Linked DNA regions of Daphnia pulex. The protein of the gene in region 2 interacts with the protein of the main gene of each other region in a pairwise test. Links are inferred from orthologs where the notes say so. Each region holds a gene or a part of one and is shown on either strand. Other genes may lie near its edges.

The links.
Region 1: the proteins of RAB6-interacting golgin-like (region 2) and RING finger and CHY zinc finger domain-containing protein 1-like interact in a two-hybrid assay, tested with the Homo sapiens proteins (3 studies listed by BioGRID and IntAct). The link is inferred for Daphnia pulex from reciprocal best matches to the Homo sapiens genes GORAB and RCHY1.
Region 3: the proteins of RAB6-interacting golgin-like (region 2) and N-terminal kinase-like protein interact in a two-hybrid assay, tested with the Homo sapiens proteins (2 studies listed by BioGRID and IntAct). The link is inferred for Daphnia pulex from reciprocal best matches to the Homo sapiens genes GORAB and SCYL1.

Annotation. Positions count from the first base shown.
Region 1 is NC_060018.1:4,446,035-4,451,826, forward strand, and holds RING finger and CHY zinc finger domain-containing protein 1-like, read left to right. Parts: upstream 1-2,654; 5' UTR 2,655-2,756; coding exon 2,757-2,816; intron 2,817-3,023; coding exon 3,024-3,185; intron 3,186-3,253; coding exon 3,254-3,320; intron 3,321-3,392; coding exon 3,393-3,481; intron 3,482-3,566; coding exon 3,567-3,749; intron 3,750-3,809; coding exon 3,810-3,905; intron 3,906-3,969; coding exon 3,970-4,069; intron 4,070-4,137; coding exon 4,138-4,169; 3' UTR 4,170-4,760; downstream 4,761-5,792. Other genes in the region: protein KRI1 homolog, read left to right, coding at 1-106, 164-324, 395-493, 571-705, 772-1,387; transcription factor TFIIIB component B'' homolog, read right to left, coding at 4,881-5,792. UniProt on the Homo sapiens protein: E3 ubiquitin-protein ligase that mediates ubiquitination of target proteins, including p53/TP53, TP73, HDAC1 and CDKN1B. Mediates ubiquitination and degradation of p53/TP53; preferentially acts on tetrameric p53/TP53.
Region 2 is NC_060018.1:3,992,536-3,998,302, forward strand, and holds RAB6-interacting golgin-like, read right to left. Parts: upstream 3,610-5,767; 5' UTR 3,529-3,609; coding exon 3,450-3,528; intron 3,388-3,449; coding exon 3,215-3,387; intron 3,128-3,214; coding exon 2,808-3,127; intron 2,733-2,807; coding exon 2,592-2,732; intron 2,512-2,591; coding exon 2,307-2,511; intron 2,237-2,306; coding exon 2,204-2,236; 3' UTR 1,852-2,203; intron 1,787-1,851; 3' UTR 1,683-1,786; exon of another isoform or gene 1,614-1,682; 3' UTR 1,211-1,613; intron 1,141-1,210; 3' UTR 719-1,140; downstream 1-718. Other genes in the region: ERI1 exoribonuclease 2-like, read right to left, coding at 3,960-4,607, 4,714-4,866, 4,969-5,116, 5,178-5,497, 5,566-5,568.
Region 3 is NC_060028.1:3,727,754-3,733,476, forward strand, and holds the start of N-terminal kinase-like protein, read left to right. Parts: upstream 1-1,912; 5' UTR 1,913-2,052; coding exon 2,053-2,166; intron 2,167-2,232; coding exon 2,233-2,376; intron 2,377-2,436; coding exon 2,437-2,571; intron 2,572-2,637; coding exon 2,638-2,722; intron 2,723-2,789; coding exon 2,790-2,928; intron 2,929-2,991; coding exon 2,992-3,082; intron 3,083-3,150; coding exon 3,151-3,386; intron 3,387-3,458; coding exon 3,459-3,537; intron 3,538-3,608; coding exon 3,609-3,830; intron 3,831-3,908; coding exon 3,909-4,001; intron 4,002-4,072; coding exon 4,073-4,208; intron 4,209-4,274; coding exon 4,275-4,466; intron 4,467-4,552; coding exon 4,553-4,824; intron 4,825-4,887; coding exon 4,888-5,052; intron 5,053-5,415; coding exon 5,416-5,494; intron 5,495-5,604; coding exon 5,605-5,723. Other genes in the region: dynein axonemal assembly factor 1-like, read right to left, coding at 1,624-1,715, 1,778-1,836. UniProt on the Homo sapiens protein: Regulates COPI-mediated retrograde protein traffic at the interface between the Golgi apparatus and the endoplasmic reticulum. Involved in the maintenance of the Golgi apparatus morphology.

The DNA.
Region 1 (5,792 bases), about 450 kb from region 2:
AGAAGAATATTACAAACTGGACTACGAGGATATAATCGGTGACCAACCTGTTCGATTCAAATACAGGACAGTTGTCGAAAATGATTTTGGTTTGGATGTAGAAGAGGTATTCAAAAAAAAACTTGTGCAACATTCAGTTATAACGAATTAATTTACAATTTAGATCCTCGTTGCAAGAGAAAAAGAACTTAATCAGTGGTGTTCTGTGAAAAAAATGTCACAGTACAGAACTGAAAGAGAAGAAATGAATGACTATTATACATACATCACGAAAAAGAAAAACGTTTCTTTAAAGAAACGAGTTCTACCTTCGGTTTTCGCCGAGTAAGTTGAAGTTTCTCGTTTAGTTTTGAACAATTGAAATGATTTCTAAAAACGCATTGCGATTCTTTAGAAATTCAGAGGCATTAATGGTAGCCGATCAAGAAAAAGATCGAAAAAAGCGGAGAAGGAATCAAGGCAAAGACGAAGATCCTGAATCCCAACCCATTCCGTAAGTTAAAATGATTTTAGAATACGTTTTTTGTTGAGCCCTTTTAATAAAAATAATTATAATAATGATTCACACAGATATCCTGAAATTGATCATCAAGAAATCCAAGAGGAAACAGTGCCAAAGAAAAAGAAGAGGAAAAACAAGGGAAAAGATGAACCGTTTACCCAAGTGAATGATTTTTCTCAGATAACTGAACCAAATCATTCCAAGTAAGTACACATTTTCACTTGAAACTGAGAGCTCTTCTTCAATAGCTCTTTTTTCTTTTCACGTAGGAAAACTAATGAAGTCGCACACAAGAGGAGGAAAGACAATACCGACGATGCTGGAAATGTTTCAGTGGCTTCAGAACATGAACAGCCCAAACCAAAGAAGTTAAAAGCTGAAAAACCTCAAGTGGAAAATGAAATTCCTTTAGCTACCGAACTGGTCAAAGGCAACGAGAATCCTGAAAAAAAGAAGAAGAAAAAGAAGAAGAAGAACTTGTCGGAAATGGCGGTAGCTACGGTTTCGAATCCTCCTGTCATCCCTGAGAAAGCAGTTTCACCAAGCAAGGATTTTAAAATGGAAATCGATTCAACTGGAAAGAAGAGTGAGGTCACTTGCACAGAAAACTCTCCCAAAAAGAAAAAAAAGAAGAAACAAGCTAAGAAATTGTTGGCACAAGAGGAGGATCAGAAGGCCGGATCGTCTTCTGTTAATGAAGGAAAGAAACAGAAGAAAAAGAAGAAGAAAAACAAAAACGCAACTGAAACAACAGCTAATAAGAAATCGGCCACCATTCGTGGTTTTGACATAACTGACGATCGCCTCAAAGCGTACGGCATCCGAAACCCCAAGAAATTCAAGAATGCCATTATATTCGGAAATTTGAAAAAATCAAAAGACTAACGGGGTTGGGACTTGGGAGTCAGATTTTGTCAGTAATTGTATTTGGTTTGATTGAGTGGATATTTCGAACGTTCTATCAATAAAAAGACTCGTGTTCCAATTCTTTGAAAGTTGCGGGTTCAAATAAAAATGTCTTCCAAAGAAAGAAAATGAGAGTATAAATTGATCGATAATGACGCTGCGCTCCTCATCTGATAACCTACAGCCAACGGTCTGTAACACGTGGGTCACTTATCTTTCTCGTCGAATAAAAAAACGCACATGAATTGAAATTGAAGGCCTTCTAAACAAATTTACCCAACAAAATCTTAAAAATTTGCAATGCTACTATAATCTCCATGCGAGAGAAGGAAAAGGGGATGACAAGGTCGACATTAAAAAAAGTTTTCGTGAATAAGTAAAAAATCTTCAATTGTCGCAGCTATTTATGTGCAACAGGTCACATTGGCTTACAATCTTTCGTACATTTCATAGAAAATTAAATTACCAGAGTATGCACAACCTCGCAAAAAAAGTCGTTTAAGTGTTTTTTCCTACCTTCGTAATGGTCACACGTGGGATTTGATGTTATCATGTTGAGGGTCGGCGGTTTGGTCGATTATGGTGTTTTGTCCCCAATTGTTCGGCAATGTTCTTTTCAACTGCTTACGAGATCGATGATTCACAATTCACAATCACAGGAAATGATTATGGCAATAATTATTCAGTCAGAGTTCACAGTCGCGCTATACACACTTTCAAATTCTACTGCCAAATTGTTGAGCATCCGACCTCGTGGGCCGCACGAGAACAACTAAGTTTTTCAAGGACCTTGCTGCCCTTTCAATAGGTAGGGTCATTTGCATATTTTTCTCAATTTGAACGTAAAAAAAAATTTCTTCGATTTTCTCCTTTCCTCCTTTTCTCCTACCTTACCCCGGTCCCCGGCCTTAAGTCCATTAATATTTCAAAACATGCACTCCGATAGACTGTATAAAACAGTATGGCAACATTCGAGTGTTTTGATTTTGAAGAACCGCTTTTAGAAAGGACAAGGAAGGGAGCTAGCGACATCTCGTCACAACAAATTTAAGTTCGTGATTAACCAATTAAAGATTAGAGATGAGAAAATTGGATGAAAATTAACTTGCTGGTTACTCTGGATTCCATTGGGAAATTAGTTTTTAAATAAATTGCTGCACAAACAAGACAAACGTGGGAAGTTAGGAATTTTCGGAAAGAAGTCGACCCAACATAGTTCATGTTCATGCCGCTAGGCTAAGCCCAAACCTACACGCTGTACACTAACTGGCCGAAACTCGTGTTTTCTTTTACACTGTGTACACACACTGCCAGATACTGACTCGTTGGAATAGGTGGAGGAGATAAAATGGCTGAGGAGAATGTCGAATACGGTTGCGAACATTATAAACGAAAATGCAAATTAGTGGTAAGTAGTTCGACACTTTGTTCTTAACCAAGTAATGTTGTAACTCAAGTTGGTCGGGAAATAACTGTGGGCACAATGTCTGAAAAATGACCATGATATCTCCTCGTGAAGATAATGCGGTTTTATAGTAATCCTGTTTAAAGTTGTATTGAGAAGTTAAATACTTAATTATTTATTATTTTACTAAACAATAATTTTGTTTTGTAGACACCATGCTGTGACAAAGTTTATACTTGCCGTTTTTGTCATGATGAGAAGGAGGAACACACCCTTAACCGAAAAAATGTGGATGAAATTATGTGTTCATTGTGTGAAACAAAACAACCAGTTCAACAAAACTGTTCCAATTGTGGTATCCTCTTTGGACAGGTAAAGTATCAGACTTTTTTCTTTTCTTTTTTTTTTCAAAATAAAGAAACCTTGATTTTGTTTTGCAGTATTTTTGTGGAAAGTGCAAGTTGATTGATGATGAAGATAAAAAGCAGTATCACTGTGAAGGATGTGGTAATTATTATTACATTTTAAAACCAATTATATTTAATCTTTGGTGACAACTCCTATATCTTACTTTTTCAGGAATATGTAGAGTCGGAGGAAGGGACAAGTTTTTCCACTGCCAAACATGTGATATGTGCTTACCAAAAAAACTTGAAAATCAGCATAGAGTAAGCATTTTTGTGGGATTCTAATTTATACATAAATTATTTTGGTTTTTAGTTCATTCAATTAGTTATTTTTGCTCTGTTACAGTGCGTTGAAAAGATGAGCCGAACAAATTGCCCAATTTGTTTGGAGGATATTCATACATCAAGAATTCCTTCACACATCCCATCATGTGGTCATCTGATTCACCGAACATGTTTCAATTCATTTATTCATCGTGGTCACTATGCCTGCCCAGTTTGTCAACGTTCAATGATGCCGATGGAATCGGTACTAAAATTTAAATTTATAAAACGAATTATAACGTTACCAATTGTGTTTCCATTCTAGTACTGGCGCATTTTAGACGATGAAATTGCCTCAACCCCAATGCCAGTGGAATATCAAAATTTTTTTGTCACGATTTTATGTAACGACTGCCATCAGGTTAGTCATTTCTCGGCACTAAAGAGTTTTTAAAATGTTATTATAATTAACAATTTTTTTGCAGTTTTCTGAAGTTCCAATGCATCCCCTTGGAGCGAAGTGCCAAAATGCACCATGTGGATCGTACAATACGTGCAGAAGCGGTGGTCCTGTTAATAGACCTGGTAATTATAATTTTATTAATCTAGAGGAACTGCGTACCACAAATCAACTTTTTCTCTTTTTTTTTAAGCAGTCAGAGAACAATCTCCTAACTCGGAATAAATGGCCATGATTATCAAGGGAATAGGATGTTGTTTGTCATTTACTTGGACGGCGGTTTTATTCTGTTGACATGCAATAATTTTATTGGCCATCTACTAAATGGTCGAGTTTGTATTTTAAAGGCTTTTAAATTTTCATCCGTGAATCTTCCACCTTATTCGGCGGTAGGCATCTGGAGCCTGTTCGTGAAATTGGATCGAAAGGTTTTGTGAATTTTTTTCTTATCGTTCAAGTTACTCGTACCCCGTCAGCCATCCTGCTGATGTTTGATACCTGTTTTGTTGCCCTTACCTCGTTGCAGTGGCTAAATTGCCGTCATATTGTAATGCACCGTAGTGAGTAAAAAAAAACATCAGACAAAAACAATGGGTAACATTTAGAAATGACTCCTCGAGTAGTTTGAAAATGGACACTGCCAGAAAAGTTCATATCCGAAATTATGAAGATTCTTCTGTGCAGCTTGTGAGTTTCTTGTAATTTTACATGTCATATTATTACAATTGATTAAGCACTTCTCTTCAATTCTATGTGGAATGTACCTTCTGAACATTTTCAAATAACAATTCTGTATAAATATACGTTGTTACCTTATTCACTGGCCTTAAGCAGTAATTAGATCGTTATTTAATTCTGGATGGCAACAACATACACACGCACACACAAAAAAAAAATTAACAGTGAAGGATTGGGCAAAATGCGTAGGGGATCTTATTAGGAGACCGGTTCAAACGGTTCGGCTATACGGTATACATGTACCAATTGATTATTAGGATCTCCGGGATTGGGTTCTGCCACCAACACTAAACTACCGGGTTCAGCTTGAGCAAACGCGGGATTGGCTTCTGCAAGAGCTGGAGGGACTAGAAAAGATGGAGCCTGGTTAGGAGTTCCAGGAACTTCAACGACGGTTAACCCACCTTGTTCTAAACCAATTTGTCCAAGGGGAGAATTCAGCAAACTGTCGAGTGGAATATTTGAATTTGGAGCAGTAGGGTTAGCATCCTTCGAACAATTTGCTGGTTCCAAAGCATCATTCTCAGTTGGGTTTGCTGGTTGTTCGTCGTCATAATCAAGAGGCTTTACATTCTTTCGTCGCGTTATTTTACCAGATCGGGATCCAATAGCCGTCTTTCGAGCTCTTGTAGACACTCGAGATTCAGTGGCTTTCCCCTTCCGGCCTTTTTTCGCAGGGGGTGCTATCTCTTCTCCAGATTCTTCGTTTGTTGTTTTCTTATCCGACCTGATAGATTCAATTGAAACTACATCCGAATCAGACTCATTCGGATTTGGTTCTTGGATGCTCACTGTTTTCTTACAGTGGAGTGGATTATTTGAAATTGGAGCAGCAGGGTTAGCATTCTTCGAACTATTTGCTTGTTCCACAGCATCTTTTTCTTGACTTTCTGGTTGTTCGTTGTCAGAATCAATAGGCTGAACTTTCTTCTTTTGCGTTCGTGATCCAGTAGCCGTCTTTCGACCTCTTGTAGACACTCGAGATTCGGTGGCTTTCCCTTTCCGGCATTTTTTCGTAGGGGGTGCCATTTCTTCTTCCGATTCTTCGTTTGATGTTTTCTTATAAATGGACCTTATAGATGTAATCGAAACTTCATCCGAATCAGACTC
Region 2 (5,767 bases):
AAACCAACACCTTACCATCCTCCGAACACCACGTTTACTGTTGACTACCTTTGGCAAGGCTATCGTTACCATTTCTATAAAACAATGGAAACATACGAGGATGCTAAAAAAATCTGTGAATATCACAACACTTCGCTGTTGGTATTTGATAGCCATCAGGAAGAAAAGGAACTTGACTGCTATTTAAACGCTAGAAACAACGCCGAGGAACAGCAACTTTCGATCTGGATAAACGAGACTTTTCTTTTTGGAGGGCCATTCATGTACGCAAGGCCGGCTTCGTTTTTCTCCGATTCAAGAGAAGCTGTTGTTTTGAAAGCCAATAAAATCATTGAAGAAAACGGATGTGACATACAGGATAACTTTGAAGAAAATCAAGCTTTATGGACAAAAGATCAGCAAAACTCCGAAGCTGAAACAACGTATTTTATTGAAAAGCTATACGGAAACCATGGCTTGCGGGGCCCAAAGCAAGGCAGCACCAATGGCTGTTGGAACTTTGTCCGTTTTAATTTAGCAAAAGAGAAGAAGAATTTCTTTATTTGCAGATCCAATAATCCGACAGTTCAAGGGACAACTACCACAACTTCCTCAAGCAACTTGCAACGGCACCAGTTCTTTTCAGAAAAGTATTGTTAACCACAATGATACTATCAATTTCAATTTTTCATTTTCTTGATTTCTTAAATGACAATAATAAATATGTTCGTCTGTGGAATTGCTGAGTTAATCCCAATTTATTTTCCGATTATGAATGAAACAAGGGGTGCAATTCTTCTAAATAGGACCAGTTAAAACACAACTATAAGCAAAATCAATGGTTGATTAATAAGCAGCGGCAAATAAGTGAGATATATAGAAGCAAACAAATTTTTTTCGAAAACTATAAACATTCAATGAATTTTAGCACATACAGCCAAAAATGATTCAAAAGATGATTGCGAAGATCACCAGTTGGTCGCCTTTGTTTTATTTTTTAGCGTGGTGGTCTTCTTTGTCATCTTCGTGGTCGTGCTCACCGTGCTCTTCATGCTCGTGTCCGCTGTTGCTGCGTGATTCAGCTTCCAAATCCTCGAAGTCTTTCGTATTGGCGAAAGTCGAAAGCTCAGAAGTTTTGTTGGTCCCAAAGCCGGCCGCCGTCTACTCAATTTAACAAACATTTTCAATAGAAGAAGGGAAAAAATTTCTAAAATCAAAAACACATTTCTACCTGACCAAGCTGGAAACCAGCACGCGGAGCTTGGTTTTCTTCAGCCTGGTGCTTCGAATCAGTGTGTTCGTGACCCTTTTTTCCATGAGCTACAGTTTGGTGGTGATGATCTTTGTGGTCCATTTCAAGCAGTATGAATACCGTAGTTGGGTTAGTTGCGTGTGTTTATCTAGGACGTCAGGTCGAGATTGTTGAATTTGCGCTCCCGCACTGCCGTTAAATAGCCGCTCATTCTCGGTCGGTTGCCCAGGAAACACAGCAGCTGGTGGACATCAACAGAATCGAAAACAAAGACCACTAGGTAGGATAGTCGATGATTCCATTTGATCGTATCTTTCATATTCGATGAGCTTTTGAATTAAATATTAGCTTTGGCCTTCCATGTTTGGTTACTAACGCTGCGCTTAACATCCAGACCAGGGTGAGGATCGGTCACCATGGTATCAGAGAAATAAACAGTAAAGTAACATACCCATACGCTTTAAAGATGCATCCCATTCCCATCATCCAAGAATTAAATTTCCTCATTCCAACTATTCTAAACTTCAAAGTTGAGTTTGTTTCCAAGAAAGGTACCTACGCAAATGAGAAAATAAAATAATGAGTGGACTTGGTTTGGTATGCTCGTTAACTGGTCATACATAAATAACGCATACCTGGGAAAGCTCGAACTAGATCTGCAATGAAACAGCTCGCATTTATTCTAGACTGTGAATTTTTCTTTTCAATATTTTCTCCCTTAACATTGGAATAACAACTGAGTGCTTCAACCTCAGAGTCCAATACTGTAAATGGTTCGTTGTGTATTTTTGGTTAAGTGAGATGTGCAATAATCAATAATATTTAAAAATATCAAATAAAATCCTAAAGTCATAAAAAGTAGCAACAACATTCAGGTGAAATGATTAGTGAATGATTATGATTCATAATAAAAGGCAATTTAAGTAAGGCACGCATAGTGAAGAGATTCCTAAAGCTGCATGATTCGTAATTTCAAACTTCATCAATCGTCACTGGATCTATGAGCTAAAAAAGTTTGACCCATTAATCTTTCTTCATGGTTTTCAAATCGCATATAGTAGCCTAGTTTCATTACCCGGTTACCGGCAGGTAGTGTTTCTGCTCGATGATCTTCGTCGTCTAATTGAATCATCAAGTCAGTGAGACGATGTGCTTTTCGCATCTCATTTTGCTCAATAATAGTACAGAGATGCTCAGTTAATAGATCTTTGCGTTCTCTTTTGTTGAAGAGTAACTGCTTAGCTTCGACGAATTCACGTTCAGCCTTCGTATAGCGTTTCCTGATTAAAAAAAAAAAAAAAAAAAAACTAACAGTTTTATTCGGTACCGTAGATGGGTGTTTAACGACTTATTCTTTTACTCAGCTTCCGACAGCTCCACACTTGCTATTTCAATATGGCTTCTCAAAATGCAAACATCATTGCTCAAGTTTGCATCAAGTTTGGAAAGCTCTTCTTGAATTTGGTGTATCTTCAGTGCTTCAGCTTGAGTCTTCATTTTTCTGTCATATTGCATAAACAACTGAAAATCAGCCAAGGAAATAATTTTATATAAATCTTAAACTGAAAATACAAACCTAAGGGCCAAAGCTTTTGCCAGCATCTGCTTTTTTAGACGATTTTGTTCTTCAATGAGCTTTTGTTTCTTTTCAAATTCATCCAGATTAACAGGATCCTTTTTCCCCCCATTTTGAAGCAAATCCACAGAGAGTGTGGAATTTGGAGGCTGGCAACAAGTTGATTCATGCCCTTCATCACTGGCATTTTGTGATTCATCGCTTCCTTGATCATTTATTATGCCATTTTCAAGAGGTGCTGCTTCCATGATCTCAAATGAGGTAGGTTTATCTTCTGAAATTCTTAGTTTAACATGAACTGGAGATTCAGGCACCTTTTCCTAGAAAACACATTAGTTTTAATTATAGTTTGTGCTATACTATACTATGAGGCTTGCTGAGGCTTATCTTAAATATTAAAATTTAACCTGTTTGGGTTTAGCTGATAACATAGCCTCATTAGGGAGATCATTTGTGTGACAGGAAGACATGGTAGAATGTGATGTTTTCTTTGGGTTGACTTTGTTTTTTTTCTGCATCACTATCGATTTTGCTTCCTTGTTCTCGTCGGCAGTCTGCAAGGCACTGTCTGTTTCATTCTCTACAGCCAATTTACATTACATATATAATCAATACAAAATTTCTCAGAAATTAAGTGCTTACTTGCGTCACGTTTAATATCCAATTCAGATTTGATTTTTGCCTGATCTTCAAGCGAAAAACCAGACCACGGAGTGGCCATTTTTTAATAATTCAGTTTTGCTACTTCAAAGTTTATTTACCTTTTCCGAGTGACACATCATGATCGGAGCCTTCTAGCGGAGATCATGCAAAGCTTTTACTCCAACTCAATATCTCAACAAAAGAAAATGCAGAATTTTTAATCAACTTGCACAGCAATAAAGGAAAGGACTCAAGGGTAAAGTTATATAAGTAAGATATAAAGTTATATATGTATTTATGAATAAGTGGTCGAACAGTTTTTGGAAAACGGAAACCATAGCTAAAAATTTACTGTTCAAATGTTGCTTTTGCCTGTTGGTTAGTAGCGCACCGCAGCGCTGTAGTTTTGTAAAACGAAATTCGTTGTTGCTGGGATCTGGATTTTCCTGTTCAAAACAATAAGCGAAAAGCCGAATGTTTATTTATTTGGATTTCCGTGCCCTAGTTACCTTATGGTAAAATGGGACTGCAAATATTTTCCTGATGTAGGGCAGATTTCAACCTTTTCCTAAGATTTCTAACATTTTTTGCAGCAAGTTTTAATTTCTCCCTTATTTGTTTGGTATTTGTTAAATTATCTGCAGTTTTTAAACCCTTGGCATGTACTTGTTCCTTCTTGTTTGGACGTTTTGCGTTTCTTTTCCGGTTCTTCTTGGATTTAATTTGCTCATGTTTGACATCATTTTTTGTAATTGAACCTTTTAAGGCAGGAACCGTCTTCTTGGCAGGATTTTTTGTCTTTGCCTTCTTTACGGCAGTTTGAACTTTCAAATTCCTTTTTTTAACTGGGTTAGCTTGTGTGGTTGGGTTGGTATTTGTAGAATTCTGCCTTATTTTACGTTTCTGGGCCCGATTGACAACTAACTTTTCATTGAACGTAACGCGCGCTCCGTCCGTCAAAAGACGTTGAACAATTGAAGCAATATTTCGGGCATCATCTATGCCGCTATGAGCTCTTCCTTGAAATTCACATCCAATATCCCGAATCATATTTTTTAGGGACAGACATTGCATATTGCCATTTTTGTAGAAACGAGCGAAAGTTTTCTTAATATTTATCCAGTTCTTACAGTACGTTGGAAAATCTATTGCTGAAATCTAAATAAAACAACAAAACAGCAACGAAAAGAAAAAAAAAAAACGAAAGAAATGTGAGTGGTTAACTGTAGGACGACGATGTAATCGTACTTACACTAAAACTCACCTTACACTGCTTCTGTAAAAATTGACGAATGTCGTCAGGTCCATCGGTCACAACCGCGAATGAATAGTTGGAACCAATAACTTGGTTTTTCTGCAACCATTCTTCAAATAAGACAAATACTTCATTGAATAAAGGAGCTTTGTCAACAGCATCCTACACAAGGACAAAAATAAATATGGAATATACATTTGAATCACGAACTGTTCAGTTGTAGGCTCCAAATGCCGGAAATGGAACATTTACAAAATAACGAACCTGTGTGATTCCTGTAAATTTTTTACAAAAATTTGTCAATGAAGGGTTAAGAACTGGTCTGCAGAAGGATTGGAATTCATCTTCAATGAGTCCATTGTGACCATTTAGTAAAATGGCAGGGAATTCAATTATTTCTTGTATTCCACCTCTGAAAAAGAAAAACTTGGTGTGGATAATTCTGAATGGTGGAAAAAAAATTATAAATTTACTTGATATGTCTTGGGTTTTTTAGAACTCCACAAGTTCCTTCAAAGTCAATTATAACATAGTAGTCAAACAGTCGTCCTTTGTTTTTATTCCCGCCAATAAAGTGACCCACTGCTTCCTTTTCGGGAATTTTTGGGACTAAGCAAGTATATTCCATGACTTCTTTTCCCACTGTTGTGTGACTTGTGTCCAGTTTGGTGAAACTGGAATCTGAAAGTTCCCCGTCTTCCATTTCAGTACTGAAATCTGTTAATTCTCCATCTTCTCTTTCTTCCCATTTATAGACATCCTGGAATTCTTGACTGGACAAAGATTGCATGTTCTGCGTATAATATTAATTTAGCTAACCAGATTACACGTATATCACGAAATTGAAAAAGGCATTCAGACCATAACATTTGATCGCACACCATCACGAGTTCACAGCAATTTAGATACGAATTGGTTTGGTTTGATAGTAGATGGGGTGCACTGCTGCGTATGGTGTTTCCATCACATTGGTCATCTTTATATTCAGACAGGAATATAAGATATTTTGCAATCAAAATTTAACTAGTAGGAAGTCAGATAAAAACAAAATTTTAATCACATC
Region 3 (5,723 bases), on a different chromosome or scaffold from region 2:
CATCTAGAACACAGAGCGACGTTTCTCCATCATGTGGGCGCAAAACGCTAGCGCCCGTTTATTGTAAGTGGGAATCACGATTAATCCCGCTAACGATCTGCTTTATTGAATATCATTTTTACGTTCAATTTACGCTCACGCCGGGCAATTTGTTTTAGTGAACCTGACGTACTAAATAAAAATACGTTAGCGTAATTATTCGACGATACCCGTTGGCGCTAGTGTCCATGAGAGAGGGAGAAAACCCTCTCTATACACTCATTGGGGTTGTTTAATTCTCCCTCCGCTAGATGTCAGCATACTTTTTGGGAATATCTTCAAACTTAAAGTCAATATAATTTTACTTAAGCGTAAAAAAGTGTATTTTGTCCCTCCGTAACCTGTAGAATTATGAGAGAAAACGGAGGGACAAAATACACTTTTGTACGCTTAAGTAAAATTGTATTGACTTCAAGTTGTAAACTTGGTAGTCTTCTGAATCAGAAGGTAGATTTCTTAACGACGACTCAAGACAAATTTCTCCTCTTCCACATGGAGCTAGAAAATATGGTGCTTGGTGCAAGGTGCTGGGTTAAGATGCTGCTTATGGCACTAAAAACGTGCCGTACAATATATATATATATAGTGCCCTCTGGTCGCGGCATGGAAGGCTAGAGCCCCCACCCTATCCCCGTTTTGTGTGTATCTGTGGTCCGATTTTCGAGATTTATGGGATGGAAACAAAGTTGCCGTCCGATCAATTGTTTTTTAGTTGATCGCTGACCAACTTTTTCTGAGTTTGGTAGGTCACTCAAACCATAACCTGATAACCATGCTCAAACTCAAAATGAGTCGAGTTTCGCTTAATTTTTCGCGCTTAAATCATCGATCAACGTTTGCCTGGAATTTTTACCTTCCAGTGACATCTAGCGGTCAAACTTTGAAATCGATACACAATTGAAATAATAATTTGCCATTTTTCAATTAATAATATTTAAATTTTTTGTCTAGTTTTTTTTTCTTTTACTGTGTTTTACTGTTTAAACAAGAAAAATTCATAAATAATAATTTCATACAATTTTCGTAGTTTAAAATTTACCGCTTGACAGCGCCTGGAATCGATCGAATAAATTGAGCTTAAGCGAACTCAATTTTTTTTATCGTCGCTTATTTTAAGCTCAAACTCAGACAAAAGATTTGAGCGCCGATTAAAAGTTTGAGTTCGTGCTTAAGCGACGATCAACTCTTAAGTTCGATCGTCGTAAGATAAGTAAGAGTAAAAGTTTTTTTTTTACTATTTTTTCAATCTATTGAGTATTAAACGAACGGCATAAAGCGATACGGACGAGGAATCAAATTTAAGTTCCCTAATATATTCCAAACTGTCTGACTGTCTGTCTATAAGGAATGTGAAGCATTAGAATTGCCTTGCGATTCTGTACGGAATTGTCTCAGAATTCTCAGGTTTCTTTCAGGATTCCTTTTCAAAAAAGGTCTCCAGAAAAGGTTATTTTTGTGTTATCACTTGAAATCGCGGACTGCTTATTGGTAAAAAAAAACCTCAGATAACAAGGCAGTGAGTTATTCACAACATTTGTTTTGGGGCATGTAGTATTTTATAGTATTATAAGAGAAATTGTAAACCTTGATGTTGAAGGTATAAAACTTCGTTTAAGTGAGGAGTTTGGTATAAGCCGTGCTTTCTACAATGATTTCGAAGCCATTTTGCAGTAATTCTAGGATTGGAAAATTATGTTCCATTTAGTTTGGTATTCTATAATATTGTATTTTATCTTACCTTGGAAATATATTTTGTTCATCCTGCGAATCCGTGTAAACATTTCCAACTTTTTCCATGACGATTCTTACGGATTCTTAGGTCTTTCCGTCTCATGTATTTTCTCCCCTTATCGACCAAACTACTCTTCGTATACTTACCAGAAGGTGGCACGCCGCTCGCATTTATGACGTGTCGCTGTCACCAACGTTACGTTTTGAATTGATCACTGAAATAAAAAATTGAATTACTCTTTGCTACAGTACTATTTTTAAAGTAATTGCAATAGGATAACTATGTGGTCATTTTTCAGCCGAGATCCTTCCAAAGAGTTCGGTTATGAAATTCTGGAACAACTTACAGGAACAGAAGAATATATGCTATGGAAACTTCATAAAGGGAAGAAGAAGGTGAATTGACACTGCATAATTATCAAAGTTAAAGTTTGGTTATCTTCATGTTATGGAATTCCTCAGGGTTCTAGTGAGCCAGTATCTGTTTTCATCCTTGATGCTAAAACAAGTGGAAATGACACACAGATAGAACTTGCGAAAGCAGCTCTGAAAAGATTGAAAACACTCAGGCATCCAAACATTCTCACTTACATCGATAGTCTAGAGGTTATTCATTCATTCTTTTATAATAAAAAGATTGCTTACTTATTTTCATTTACTATTTAGACAGAAAAATGTTTGTATTTGGTAACTGAGTATGTTGAGCCCTTGCAGTTTTATTTGAACAGTTGTGCTACTGATTACCCTAAATCTAAACAACAAAAAGAATTATTTATAGCATGGGGACTTTTTCAAGTTGTGGTATGTTTTAAAGTGAAATTAAATAAGGAATGTAACCAAAGATTTTAAGTTCTTAACTATTTCCAGCGAGCCCTAACTTTCTTGAATAATGATGTGAATCTTCAACATAATTCTATCTGCCTTGGAAATATACTTGTAAACACCGCTGGAGGTAAATATCCAAGTTTTGCATGTTACATAATCTAGTTCCTGCATTCTAATTGTATTAACTATAACAGAATGGAAGCTTGGAGGTTTTGAAAATGCAACTCCATCATCTCAAATAAATTCTCTACCAATAAAAATACTACCTTCCTTTGAGAAATATGACCCACCTGAGAAAGTGGATTCATTGAAGCTTAAATTTGCTACCAAATGGTACTTGATTAGATTTTTTTTTTCTATCCTTTAAATATTTCCTTAAATTTTATGTTTGTGAAGGTCAGCCGACATGTGGGGTCTAGGATGCCTTATTTGGGAAGTGTTCAACGGTTCACTCAAATCCTCTTCCTCATTAAAAATTTTGGGCAATGTATGAAATTACATATTGTTGATTTAATTAATGAGTTAAATCATATTACTTTGATTATTTTTAATTAGATTCCAAAACTGTTAACATCAGTTTACTGTGAACTTGTAGGAGCAAATCCCAGTTCTCGCCCTAACCCCAGTGAAGTCCTTGTTATTTGTAGAAAGCCTGGAGGTTACTTCAATAATGATTTGGTTGAATGTCTCCTTTTTTTGGAAGAGATTCAAATTAAGGAAAGTAATGAGAAGACACAGTTTTTCAATAAGCTACCTTTACTGTTGGAAAGTTTTCCAGAGAACTTGGCAAGGTTAATTATACTTAATATATAAAAGACTGACAAAGTATTTTGAGTAACAGTTTTATGTTTACTATCAAACAGACACAAAGTTTTACCTCAACTTATTAATGCATTTGAATTTGGTAATGCTGGAGCAACTATTCTCACTCCTCTGTTTAAGGTGAGCAATATTAAATTAATGTGTTTATGCATACAGTACTTAAATACCTTCTCGTCATGTTTTTTCCCCAGTTAGGTAGCTTATTAACCGAAGAGGAATATCAAAAACGAATTGTTCCTTGTGTAGTCAAATTATTCTCGTCTCCTGACAGAGCAACTCGTGTCCGTTTGTTGCAGCAATTAGAACATTTTTCAGCTCATCTTCTTCCTGTCACTGTGAATGATAACATCTTTCCCCACATTTTGAGCGGATTTACAGACTCGAATCCAGTAATAAGAGAGCACACTGTTAAGGTATTTTATTATAAAATGATTGTTCAGTACTGTTGTATTTATTTTACTTTTATTAATATTGGAATTATCGCAATGCAGTCCATTATATCTTTAGCACCAAAACTGAATTATAATAATCTGAATGTGGAAGTTCTCAAGCACTTCGCGCGATTACAATCTAAAGATGAACAGGTAAATTTCTTCGCAAACAAATGAGGCTACGTGTGTTGAAAATTATTTTTTTTTTTTTTTTTTGCATTTAGGGCGGGATCCGTACCAATACTACAGTGTGCCTTGGAAAAGTCGCCTCTTATTTCCATCCTCAGATAAGGCAGAAAGTTCTGGTATCAGCTTTTACCAGGGCACTGAGGGATCCGTTTCCTCCTGCCCGAGTTGGAGGTAAAATATTCCATTCATTAGAAATAGATTTAGTAAACATAAAATTTTAAATAAAAATTTTTTCAGGCATATTAGCATTTGCAGCCACCCAACAATATTATCTGCTGAACCAAATCTCTAATCAAATTTTACCTGCCCTTTGTGTACTGACGGGTGATCCTGAAAGAGAAGTGCGCGATCAGGCCTTTAAAGTCGTTAAAGGTTTCCTATCAAAATTGGAAAAAGTATCGGAAGATCCTTCTCTTCGAGAATGCATGGGTACTATTAATTATTTATTTATTTTCAATTGCTATAACGGTGATTTTTAATTTTTATTATCTTGTTTAATGTTTTCCTGTAAACAGAGGCTGATGTAAATGCAAACGCTAGCCCAAATGTAACAGATATGGCATCAACATGGGCTGGTTGGGCAGTTAGTGCAGTCACATCAAAGTTCTACAAGTCTCAAAGCAGCCAAATATCTGATCAGTCTCCTGCTCTGCCAGCCAGCACTCAAGGACCAGCTGCTACAAGCAACCCAATAAGTTGTGATACAATTCCTGAAACATCGCATGAATTACGGAGGACTTCTTATACCGAATCCACCGACGAATCCGTGCAATGGGGAGACATGAATGTATTACGAAACGACTTGAATATTTTTGTCCGAGTATTTAACTTATCTACGTTTACGTTTTAGGAGCTTTCACTATCAAGCAAAAACCTTGTGGATGATAAGGGAGATGGCGATGGCGATGGCGATGGGTGGGACGTTCAAGATGATTGGGCGCCAATTGAAACTGTTGAGCAAGATTCCTTTGGCCCAAGCATGACCACCGCGCGTTCTAAAGATTCCGTATTAATGGTAAATGCATATAAAAATTTGTAATTGTACTTCTAAAACTTTTACAATTTTATAGAGAAATCCATTCGGAAGTTAAATTTTCCTAAGACAGTATAATTATTATCTTAGTTTTTTATAGCTTTTTTTTTTAATGATTCCCATTTAAAAAATTAGTAACTAATGGTAACAGGAAGCTGATCGTAAATTATTGTATTGCATGGACATTAGTGGTTAGGTCCTATGTAGATAGGAAAATAACAATGGATCTTTTATGAAGGAAAAATTATGATTTAATGTCTTAGAAGTTAGAAAGTCAAACTGTAAAATAATTTGTAACGTAAATGTGTCTCCCACGTGACTCATTATGAATTTTGCATTTGTCAGGGTACCAAATCTGAAAAAAATGAAAGTGGATGGGAATCGACATGGAACACCAACCAGTGGTCTACTCCAGATAGCAATGGTACGACTTTAAATTTTTAGAGTGCATGCTTGCCCTTTTTTTTTTCTCGTTTCTTTTTTTTTCCCAATCTTAAGACCCTTATTAATTATTTTGTGTTTGTTTTGTTTTAGATAAAGATGAGTCTCGGAAGAAGCGCGAAGAAAAACGTATTCAGAGACAGAAAGAAATCGAAGCCAAACGCAATGCCCGCCAAGGAGCTAGTAGCGGAGGAAGTTCATTAAAGTTAGGT